Linked DNA regions of Saccharomyces cerevisiae S288C. The protein of the gene in region 1 interacts with the protein of each later gene in a biochemical or structural test. Each region holds a gene or a part of one and is shown in the gene's direction. Other genes may lie near its edges.

Region 1 (3,866 bases):
TTTTTGCTGACGTTGTAAGTGGGAATTCGACGGAGAATGTTTTATCATCGCAAACGTTCTCACTTGTGCATGAACTTTTTGTTGTTTTTGATGTAGTGGCGTTCTTTCCCTTTTTATTCAATATCTTTTTCGATATATAGTGTAAATTTTTGGTGTCACTGTCTAGAGAAAGGAAAGTCTTTCTTGGTGTCTTTTCCCAATTTACAGATACTCTATAATTTACTGTCGTAACCGCAAAAGAATCCACTGAATCTAATTTTGACCATCTTATTGTTCGTTTGAAGGAAAAGCATAAAAATTTGCCGGTAAATTTTCCAATTTTCATACCGTCACCATGAAAAACTGCTCTTTTATCGTCAATAAAAACATTTGGAACATTAACGTTAGTTCTCAAATACAGAATTGCCTCGCCGGTTTTTTCATCCTTTACGCTCTTATATATGAGATCGTGGAAATGCTTGACAAACAAATTATTTAAATTTGCATGAGGTTCTGCAAATAGCAACATGTTGTTTTTAATCCTTCCAAGAACTTTTTTCATTAGTGCAAAATAGGGAGTGAAGACAGCATGGAAAGCGCTTTTTAACGTTTCATTCGTAAAGTTCAAACTGTTCACGGAACATTTTCCAGGCCAGTGGAATCGTACCCAATAAACAGTTGGACATAGAACTAGGACTGGCATACACTCTTCCATTTGGAGAATGGATATTAGTATAATGTAAATATAATTGATTTCATCTGGATGTCTCTCAAAGTCAGCAACGCTGATTCGTTGGATGTATTTGTTTGAACCTGCCAACAGCCTGAAGTACTCTAATTTTTGTTTGTATGTAGCGAAATTAGTAAATTTAGCCAATCTTAGCATGCCTCTAGAAAATGATATATTGATGCTTTCGAAGCCTGGTAATCTAGAGTATTCAATGAACATGATTGAAAAAGCACTAGGCCAGGTGATTATACCGCAGACTTACGGTAATATAAGGGCAAGAGAACTAAAAAAATCAATAATGTAGGCTTATATTACAGTTCTTTGTGAGATATTCCTTTCTAGAGCGTTTTCTGTGTCCACTCAATTAATATATACACTTCCCGTATCCTAACATTTACTGACACAATGATAGGCACAACGCGCGAAGGAGCGGTGGGGCTTTGAACAATAAGGACCCTTACATAGAAAAGGCGTTAGAACAACAATATGGTTAGGCCATAGAAACCTCGGTGTCTTTTAGGAACTTCACAGAATAGAACATACTGCAGTAGATATAAATACACCACTGGGGCAATGCAGCCTGGTTTTTTCCAAATATACAAAACACTTCATGATACTTACTAATGGTCGTTGATACAGTACTCATTGTATCATTGCAGGAGAGTTAGGTTGGCTTTTTTGCATTTATTTATTTATTCATTTACTCAATTGACAGGCAATGTCAATGATTTTTTGGAAGAAATTTGCCTAATGTTTTTACTCAGTTACTCACCGCTCCCTGGATAACATAAGGTTCATTTGCTTCCGTACTGATTTTTTTTGGCAGTCTATAAGCCACTATGTACTTCCCAATGCTCCTGCAGGCATATTCTTTTTCAATTTTCATGTTTTTACTTCCAGTCGTTGAGCATCATATGGATTCTATGTTGATGAGGCTTTTCAGAACGTGCTGTACTTTCGGAGAAGCGCCCGCTTTAACGCAGCGCGAAGAGAATAATTGAGGCTTATCTTAGAACCCTGCCCCCTTTGAAGCCACCCATTGCTGTTTCTCTTGGTAATCCTAATAATATAAAACAATACGATATTGTTCAAGATCAGCAGAACTTCAATTCGTTGATCAATCTTTTCGTCACCTTTTCTTCTATCACATCGCCAATATAAATATAGACACCAAAAATGCCCAAGGAGTCAGAGGTCATAAATTCTGAATTTCATGTAGATGTCCAAGATCCAGAGCGTCTAAACGGCCACCCTGTAGCAAAATTTATCAATAAATTAAGCGGTCAACCTGAATCTTACGTCAACAGGACTAATTATATTTTCGGTCGAACACTGGGTGCCGGTTCCTTCGGTGTTGTGAGACAAGCCAGAAAGTTGTCCACAAATGAAGATGTTGCTATAAAGATCTTATTGAAGAAGGCATTGCAGGGAAACAATGTGCAATTACAGATGCTGTACGAAGAGCTGTCCATTCTTCAAAAATTGAGTCATCCGAACATTGTGTCATTCAAGGATTGGTTTGAATCGAAGGATAAGTTCTATATTGTCACTCAGCTGGCAACAGGAGGTGAATTATTTGATAGAATTCTGTCTAGAGGGAAGTTCACAGAAGTGGATGCTGTTGAAATCATAGTTCAGATTCTTGGTGCCGTGGAGTATATGCATTCCAAGAATGTTGTTCATAGGGATTTGAAACCTGAGAACGTTTTGTATGTTGATAAGTCAGAAAATTCGCCTCTGGTAATTGCGGACTTCGGTATAGCTAAACAATTGAAGGGGGAGGAGGATTTGATATACAAAGCAGCCGGATCGTTGGGTTATGTGGCACCAGAAGTCCTCACACAAGATGGACATGGTAAGCCTTGTGATATATGGTCCATTGGTGTGATCACATATACTTTACTGTGCGGTTATTCTCCTTTTATTGCCGAAAGCGTTGAAGGATTCATGGAGGAATGTACAGCTTCGAGATACCCGGTAACCTTCCATATGCCATATTGGGATAACATATCTATTGATGTTAAGCGTTTCATCTTGAAGGCATTGAGATTGAATCCAGCTGACAGACCAACTGCTACGGAATTGCTGGACGATCCATGGATTACTTCAAAGAGAGTTGAAACTAGTAATATTTTACCAGACGTTAAGAAAGGGTTTTCTTTGCGTAAGAAATTACGTGACGCTATTGAAATTGTGAAGCTTAATAATAGAATTAAGAGGTTAAGAAATATGTATTCATTAGGGGACGATGGCGATAACGATATAGAAGAGAATTCCCTCAATGAAAGTCTTCTGGACGGCGTCACACATTCGTTGGATGATTTACGTCTGCAATCTCAGAAGAAAGGGGGAGAACTAACAGAAGAGCAAATGAAATTGAAGTCTGCATTAACAAAGGATGCCTTTGTTCAAATTGTCAAAGCTGCAACAAAGAATAAACATAAAGTTTTGGCTGGTGAAGAGGAAGACGATAGCAAGAAAACACTGCATGATGATCGGGAGTCGAAGTCAGAAGACTAAATTACGGACTTGAATTCGTGTACATAAATTCGTATATAATATTTAATGTGTAAAGCTAGTGACGATTTTATGTAACCAGCAGCTACACTTCATGGCATTCAAACTATAGACCTTTTCTGGCATTACGCCTCAAGCTTCTTTTTTCCCGAGAATTATCTTGTAGTTGCCTAACGGGTTCTGAGAAGATCTCTATATCATCACAATTCCTATCACAATCTTTAGCGCCATTGTGTAATTCTCTTTTCCCAAAAGATTTATCTGTCCTATCTTCACCTTTTCTTGTCAATGTATTCTCCTCACTCAGATATTCTGAATCATAGTCATCGCTAACGTCAATGTCAACTTCATTTTCACTTTCCTCGGAAACGTCACCATTTACATCACTCGAGTAATGCACCGTGGTTCTTCTCTGAGAGCTTGTTCGCAAATGACGTCCTTCAGTACTGCCTGTAGGGGCAGCAGTTATGCGCTGAATAGTCTCATTTATGAATATACTGAAAATTTTCAAAAACTCAATTAGATTGTCTATACCCTTTTTTGTATCATCGGTGTCATTTTCAGTAAGTGATGATAAACTTTCCAAATACTCAATGAAGTTGCTCAAAGAATTCGAGTCTCCTGCAACTTCAAACCAATG
Region 2 (3,295 bases), on another chromosome or scaffold:
TGAGGAAAAAGCAGCACCTGTTGTGAAAAAAGATAAATTTCTTTTTTTCATTTTTCTATCCTCAAAGGAAAATCTTTTCTGCGAAATTTCTAGCCGCTCTTCAGTTTCCGAAGTAAAGTCGCTGAGGGCGAAAAACAACTTTATTTGCCCACACGCTGTTATAGGCTTCCAGGGAGCAAAAGCGCAATTGGGAATAAGGTTTCCTCAATTGAATGGTTTGCTTCGCCTACAGCATTAACCAGAAGGTAATTTGATCTCTTGTATGTCCGCTAACAGATCTTGTCCATTAATTGTTTATTTTCTTCAGGTAGGCTGAGCCCACTTTGTAGTAGCTCCCTACCATTACTTTTGGCCTTGTAGTTATTGGCTTTGATTTTTTCTTTCTATGACAATCCCGTTGAGCAACCTTGCGAAGGGCTCTTTTTGAAAAAAAGGCGTGGGCAAGATCTCTGTATCCCTTTCTCGGTTTTTTCTTCCCATTCAACAGTAATTGAGTGTCGCTATTTTGACTTACCTCAGTGCCTATTATTAGCATAAGAAATGACCCACATAGTCTGAACTCTAAATAAACCCGAATTAGGAATCAAGTACATTTCATATCCGCTAGGTTTGACAATCCTCCGTAGATAACCTTAATGATACAATGGAAAGGTTATTTTTTATTATTGTCATAGAAGTTGTTACGTGAGCAATATAACACGACGTGAATAGTACGCATACATCTTGTTGTATCGGAAACTTAAAATGCTCATAGATTTTTTGCAGCTTATATTGGTTCTTGTCTCCGTAGGAAACAACGTAATGTAGCCGATAATTTTTTTTTTTTTCGCTCGTAGGCTCTTCAGTAGATACTACTACATAATCACTGTTGTACGCACCTACTATTCTTCCAGGTAACAGTACTACAAAGGGTCTGAGACTGTGCAGTAAACCGATACGCTACAAAATTTCCTTTTCAGCTTTTGCCTGTGATGCATAGCCGCAATGTCAGAGCAAATGGAAATGAAAAGGAGGGCCTTCAAGATTGAAAAAAAGCCCGATTGGAAAATCTTCCGACACGAGGTGCAGTCAAGTACTCATAAACGATACATGTGAAAATCAATCCATATACATCGCGTACGCTCCGTACCTAAAAGTATATCTGGGTTTTGCAGCAATCTTGAGAACAATCAGGTGAGAGATGCCGTTTCTCGGGGTTAAAGAATAAAATGACGGCGATCCCTCTTCTCAGGATCGGGACTATCTCATATAGGAAATATCCTTACGGGAGCATTCCACCTTGAGCTACGAGTGATTGCCATTTACGGTGGGAAATAAGGTTTTCAGTGGATACTGGTTTTGAGGGCAGATCAAGACGATCTGTTTTTTAACTTCCGCTTTAATTCTGCGTATTATTCTGTACAAGAAACTCAAACAACAACAAAAAACAAGATAAAGAATGATGCATCAGGTTCCCGACTTATGTCCCTAAAGTTTCATAAGTAAGAAACCCGCGCGAGAACGTCATTTGAACTACCTTACAGATCTGCAGGTGGCCCGGAAAGGGCAGTCGTGTGCCTTCATCATTATTGTTGTATTCTCTGTGCCTTCTTTTTTTCCTTACTTACTATTTTGCTATATATGTGACTACTACATGTTGATGTTTCAAAATACCTCTTTTATATGCCTGTCAGGGTTTGACAAGTTGAACGAAAGATACAATTGTTAGCTTTTTATTGTTCTATGGCTTCACAATAATTCCTCAAACATTAGTATACTTTTAGTTTTGAGCTTCTTAGTTATAACACAAGTTCATCACCTACCTTCGAAAAATAGCAGTAAACGCCACTAAAGTAAATTACATGAATTTTTCCCTTTCAAAGCAAAGTTCAGAAAAACAATCATCATATACAGACAAGTCAAGATCTCCTAATATAGGAATGTGTACAGTCAATTATAAATCGAACCTCCCCCTTCAAGTGTCCGCAGTTGATCAGCTGAGCACTGGTAAGGGGACTCAATTTTATGGCCACAATAGCTACAAAAATGAACGGGAATGTTATAATAGTACGAAAATAAACTTACCACCAATTTCATCCCTTTTGCCTAATTTTGAAAATAATACACCACCTAACGTAGATTCAAGGGTTCAATTCCCTCCACAGCAAGTTTATCAAAGCATGAATGTTGTACCCATTGTTAATGAGATCTACACCCCAATTTCCATGAACGCAACATCTGATCAATATCCTATCTACTATACGGAAAGTCAGCAACCAATACCACATAGCCAGTCTCCTCATTTGACCTCCTCTGCTCCCTTGATGATGCCAGTCATGGTCCCAACAGTATATAAACCATTGACACCATACGACAAAGAACCAATAACAATTGCCTCCGAACCTAACTTCACTGCAATATCAATGGCGAGTCACCCAAACGCTGCCTTAGAGCTATGCCACGATAGGCCAAAATCAGTCCCACCTGGGTATGGCGTACTTCCAACCATGCAGGAAGCCAGTAACGGCAGAACAAAAAGCGAACCTGGTGCCGTGTTGAACGGTTCAGCAACATTTTCTGATTGGAAAACTGACACCCGAATATCATCCACAAAGCTGAGAAAGCAGTGCCCAGTATGTGGAAAAATTTGTTCGAGGCCCTCAACGCTGAAGACACATTACTTAATTCATACGGGAGATACTCCTTTCAAATGTACTTGGGAGGGTTGCACAAAATCCTTCAATGTGAAAAGCAATATGCTGAGACATTTGAAAAGCCATGAAAGGAAAAGAAACAAAGTCTTAAACACTACATAGAAACAATAGGAACGGAAAGCTTTATTGCAATGGAATTTTTAGAACTCATATTCAAAGGTAAGGCAAAACTATGTATAGACTCTAATAGAATGTTTTACGGACTTTAGAAGCAAGGGAATAAAACTAATTAAGCGCAAGTCACCTTCTTTGTTAGTGTTCTTCCCAGTTTTATATAACGGGAGTGCGTCTTCAAGTTTACTTGGACGCACAAAGACGTTTTTATGTTTATGTATTATTTCGTAAATATATGAGAGGCAAAGAAGATGGATGATGATATAATATGCAAGGGAAAATGCGTAGTTGAGGTATTGGGAAAGTTCCATGTGATCACTTGATGCAAGCCGTGCATTATTTATCAGCAGATCTATTTTCACTTTTCAATTTTTTTCAGGTTGACCCTTCAATATTTTTTTACCTCTTTTTCTAGATATATTTGCAGGGTACTCTCGATGTCCGCAGTTCGTCAAAATGATTATGATTGCCAGTAAGGCCAAGTGAAT
Region 3 (3,361 bases), on another chromosome or scaffold:
GTGGTTATTCCCAAGTCATCCCAATGGACGAATTCAACTTACATTTGACTGGTGACATTCACGCCATTGGTGCGGCTAACAACCTACTTGCTGCCGCTATTGACACTAGAATGTTCCATGAGACCACTCAAAAGAACGACGCTACCTTCTACAACAGACTAGTGCCTAGAAAGAACGGAAAGAGAAAGTTTACTCCCTCCATGCAAAGAAGATTGAACAGACTGGGTATTCAAAAGACCAACCCCGATGATCTAACACCCGAAGAGATCAACAAATTCGCCAGATTGAACATTGACCCGGACACTATTACTATCAAGAGGGTGGTCGATATCAACGACAGAATGTTAAGACAAATCACCATTGGTCAAGCCCCTACCGAGAAGAACCACACAAGAGTTACTGGATTCGATATCACCGTTGCTTCTGAATTGATGGCTATTCTTGCTCTTTCAAAGGACTTGAGGGACATGAAGGAACGTATTGGAAGAGTCGTTGTTGCTGCTGACGTAAACAGGTCTCCAGTCACTGTTGAAGATGTGGGTTGTACCGGTGCCTTAACCGCTTTATTAAGAGACGCTATCAAGCCCAACTTGATGCAAACTTTAGAAGGTACTCCTGTCTTGGTCCATGCCGGCCCATTTGCCAACATCTCTATCGGTGCCTCTTCTGTTATTGCTGATCGCGTGGCTTTGAAATTGGTTGGTACCGAGCCAGAGGCAAAAACAGAAGCTGGTTATGTGGTTACTGAAGCAGGGTTCGATTTCACTATGGGTGGTGAAAGATTCTTCAACATCAAGTGCCGTTCCTCTGGATTGACACCTAATGCTGTGGTCTTGGTTGCTACTGTTAGGGCATTGAAGTCACACGGTGGTGCTCCAGATGTCAAACCTGGCCAACCTTTACCTTCCGCATACACTGAAGAGAATATCGAGTTTGTCGAAAAAGGTGCCGCTAACATGTGTAAACAAATTGCCAACATTAAGCAATTTGGCGTCCCCGTCGTTGTCGCAATTAACAAGTTTGAAACTGACACTGAAGGTGAAATAGCCGCCATTAGAAAAGCCGCTTTGGAAGCTGGTGCATTTGAAGCCGTAACCTCTAACCATTGGGCCGAAGGTGGTAAAGGTGCTATCGACTTGGCCAAGGCCGTCATCGAAGCTTCCAACCAACCAGTGGACTTCCATTTCCTATATGACGTTAACTCCTCCGTTGAAGACAAATTAACTACTATCGTTCAAAAGATGTACGGTGGTGCCGCAATCGATATCTTGCCTGAAGCACAACGCAAGATTGACATGTACAAGGAACAAGGTTTCGGTAACTTGCCAATTTGTATCGCCAAGACACAATACTCTTTATCCCACGATGCAACTTTGAAAGGTGTTCCAACCGGGTTCACTTTCCCCATCAGAGACGTCAGATTGTCTAATGGTGCTGGATACTTATACGCTCTTGCCGCCGAAATACAAACCATTCCTGGTTTGGCTACCTATGCTGGTTACATGGCCGTGGAAGTCGATGATGACGGTGAGATCGATGGCCTGTTCTAAGACAACTTAATTATATAGAATTTAATAAAGACAAATGCAAAAGTTTTTTTAAAGTATGGATGTATAATAATAATAACGATAATACGAACACTATTGGGACTAATAATGATTTATAGTTTTTTTTACACAGGGGATTTAACGTTCCGCGACCCTTTTTCCTTTAATTTAACCCCAGTTCCTTAACGTCGAAAATTTCCGATTCCGTTAAGGAGGAGAAAACCTAATTACCAAACGAAGCGGGGAGACGCATTAATGAGAACAATAAATGTATGAAACTTTTAGCAATCTAAATGATACTATACCAAGACAAGCGAACACTGGCTAGCACAATATTTGGGCGGAACGAAATAAAATAACGAAGATATACATAAGACACAAAGGAAAAAGCGTTCCATTGCATCTCTGAAGTGAATAATATAAAAAGTAGTAAAGCTAGAAATGTGTGATAAGTCAAAAACGGTATTGGACTACACGATAGAATTCTTGGATAAATATATACCTGAATGGTTTGAGACGGGAAATAAATGCCCCTTGTTCATTTTCTTCTCGGGCCCACAAGGCTCAGGCAAAAGTTTTACAAGTATCCAAATCTATAACCATTTGATGGAAAAATATGGGGGTGAAAAATCTATCGGTTACGCCTCAATTGATGATTTTTATTTAACTCACGAGGACCAATTGAAACTCAATGAGCAATTCAAGAACAATAAGCTGTTACAAGGACGTGGTTTACCAGGTACTCATGATATGAAATTGTTGCAAGAGGTATTGAACACCATCTTCAATAATAATGAACATCCGGATCAAGATACTGTCGTACTACCCAAGTACGATAAATCCCAATTTAAAGGAGAAGGGGACCGTTGCCCCACTGGTCAAAAAATCAAGCTACCAGTCGATATTTTTATCTTAGAAGGTTGGTTCCTCGGGTTCAACCCCATTTTGCAAGGAATTGAGAATAATGATCTTCTTACTGGGGACATGGTTGATGTCAATGCCAAGCTCTTCTTCTATAGCGACTTGTTGTGGCGCAACCCAGAAATCAAATCTTTAGGGATAGTATTCACCACCGATAACATTAACAATGTTTATGGCTGGAGACTACAACAGGAGCATGAACTAATATCAAAGGTCGGAAAGGGGATGACCGACGAACAAGTGCATGCTTTTGTGGATAGATACATGCCCTCCTATAAACTTTATTTGAACGACTTTGTCCGGAGTGAAAGTTTAGGTTCCATTGCTACATTGACGTTAGGAATCGACTCCAACAGGAATGTATATTCTACGAAAACGAGATGTATTGAATAGTGATGTTATGACCTTTTTTTTTACGCCTTTTTTTTTTTTTTTTTTTTTTTTAATTTATCTCACTTTTCCCTTCTATTTTATGTACTAACAGATAATTTTATAATGATTTCATGTATTTTTGGTTCAGAATTTTGACAAGGCAACTCTTGAATAATTGTCGTATGCAAAAAAAATTGTTTATCTGTTACATATCCATCATAAAACTTTTATAGAGCTTTTATTGTCCTTCTTATACAAATACCGTTCAGAGGCTGTCCGAGATTTAAGCGGTTTTGGAAAAATTACTGCTATTAATTAAGATTAAAAAGGAAAGGAAAATAGCAATGGGAGCTTATCGCATAAAAAAATGAACAATAATGTTGAAGAACTCCTACGGCGTATTCCCCTCTACAACAAATATGGTAAGGATTTTCCACAAGAAACAGTGACTAGGTTTCAGATGCCTGAATTTAAGTTACCAGCGCTACAACCAACAAGGGACTTATTATGCCCTTGGTACG

Evidence for each region. Proteins that work in one complex are often made in the same cells at the same time.
Region 2: of the proteins of CMK2 (region 1) and CMR3, one has a biochemical effect on the other in vitro, tested with the Saccharomyces cerevisiae proteins (one large-scale study listed by BioGRID).
Region 3: the proteins of CMK2 (region 1) and TDA10 form a complex in vitro, tested with the Saccharomyces cerevisiae proteins (one large-scale study listed by BioGRID).

The regions. Positions count from the first base shown.
Region 1 is NC_001147.6:294,140-298,005, reverse strand, and holds CMK2 (calmodulin-dependent protein kinase CMK2), read left to right. Parts: upstream 1-1,885; coding exon 1,886-3,229; downstream 3,230-3,866. Other genes in the region: IRC10 (Irc10p), read right to left, coding at 1-928; ESC8 (Esc8p), read right to left, coding at 3,333-3,866.
Region 2 is NC_001148.4:584,132-587,426, reverse strand, and holds CMR3 (Cmr3p), read left to right. Parts: upstream 1-1,841; coding exon 1,842-2,795; downstream 2,796-3,295. Other genes in the region: YPR014C (uncharacterized protein), read left to right, coding at 1-238. UniProt on the Saccharomyces cerevisiae protein: Probable transcription factor involved in the regulation of the transcription of genes involved in cell rescue and defense, as well as cell cycle and DNA processing.
Region 3 is NC_001139.9:907,225-910,585, forward strand, and holds TDA10 (putative ATP-dependent kinase), read left to right. Parts: upstream 1-1,988; coding exon 1,989-2,861; downstream 2,862-3,361. Other genes in the region: trifunctional formate-tetrahydrofolate ligase/methenyltetrahydrofolate cyclohydrolase/methylenetetrahydrofolate dehydrogenase ADE3, read left to right, coding at 1-1,550; YGR204C-A (uncharacterized protein), read right to left, coding at 1,837-1,950; ubiquitin-binding ESCRT-I subunit protein MVB12, read left to right, coding at 3,208-3,361. UniProt on the Saccharomyces cerevisiae protein: ATP-dependent kinase whose specificity is not yet known.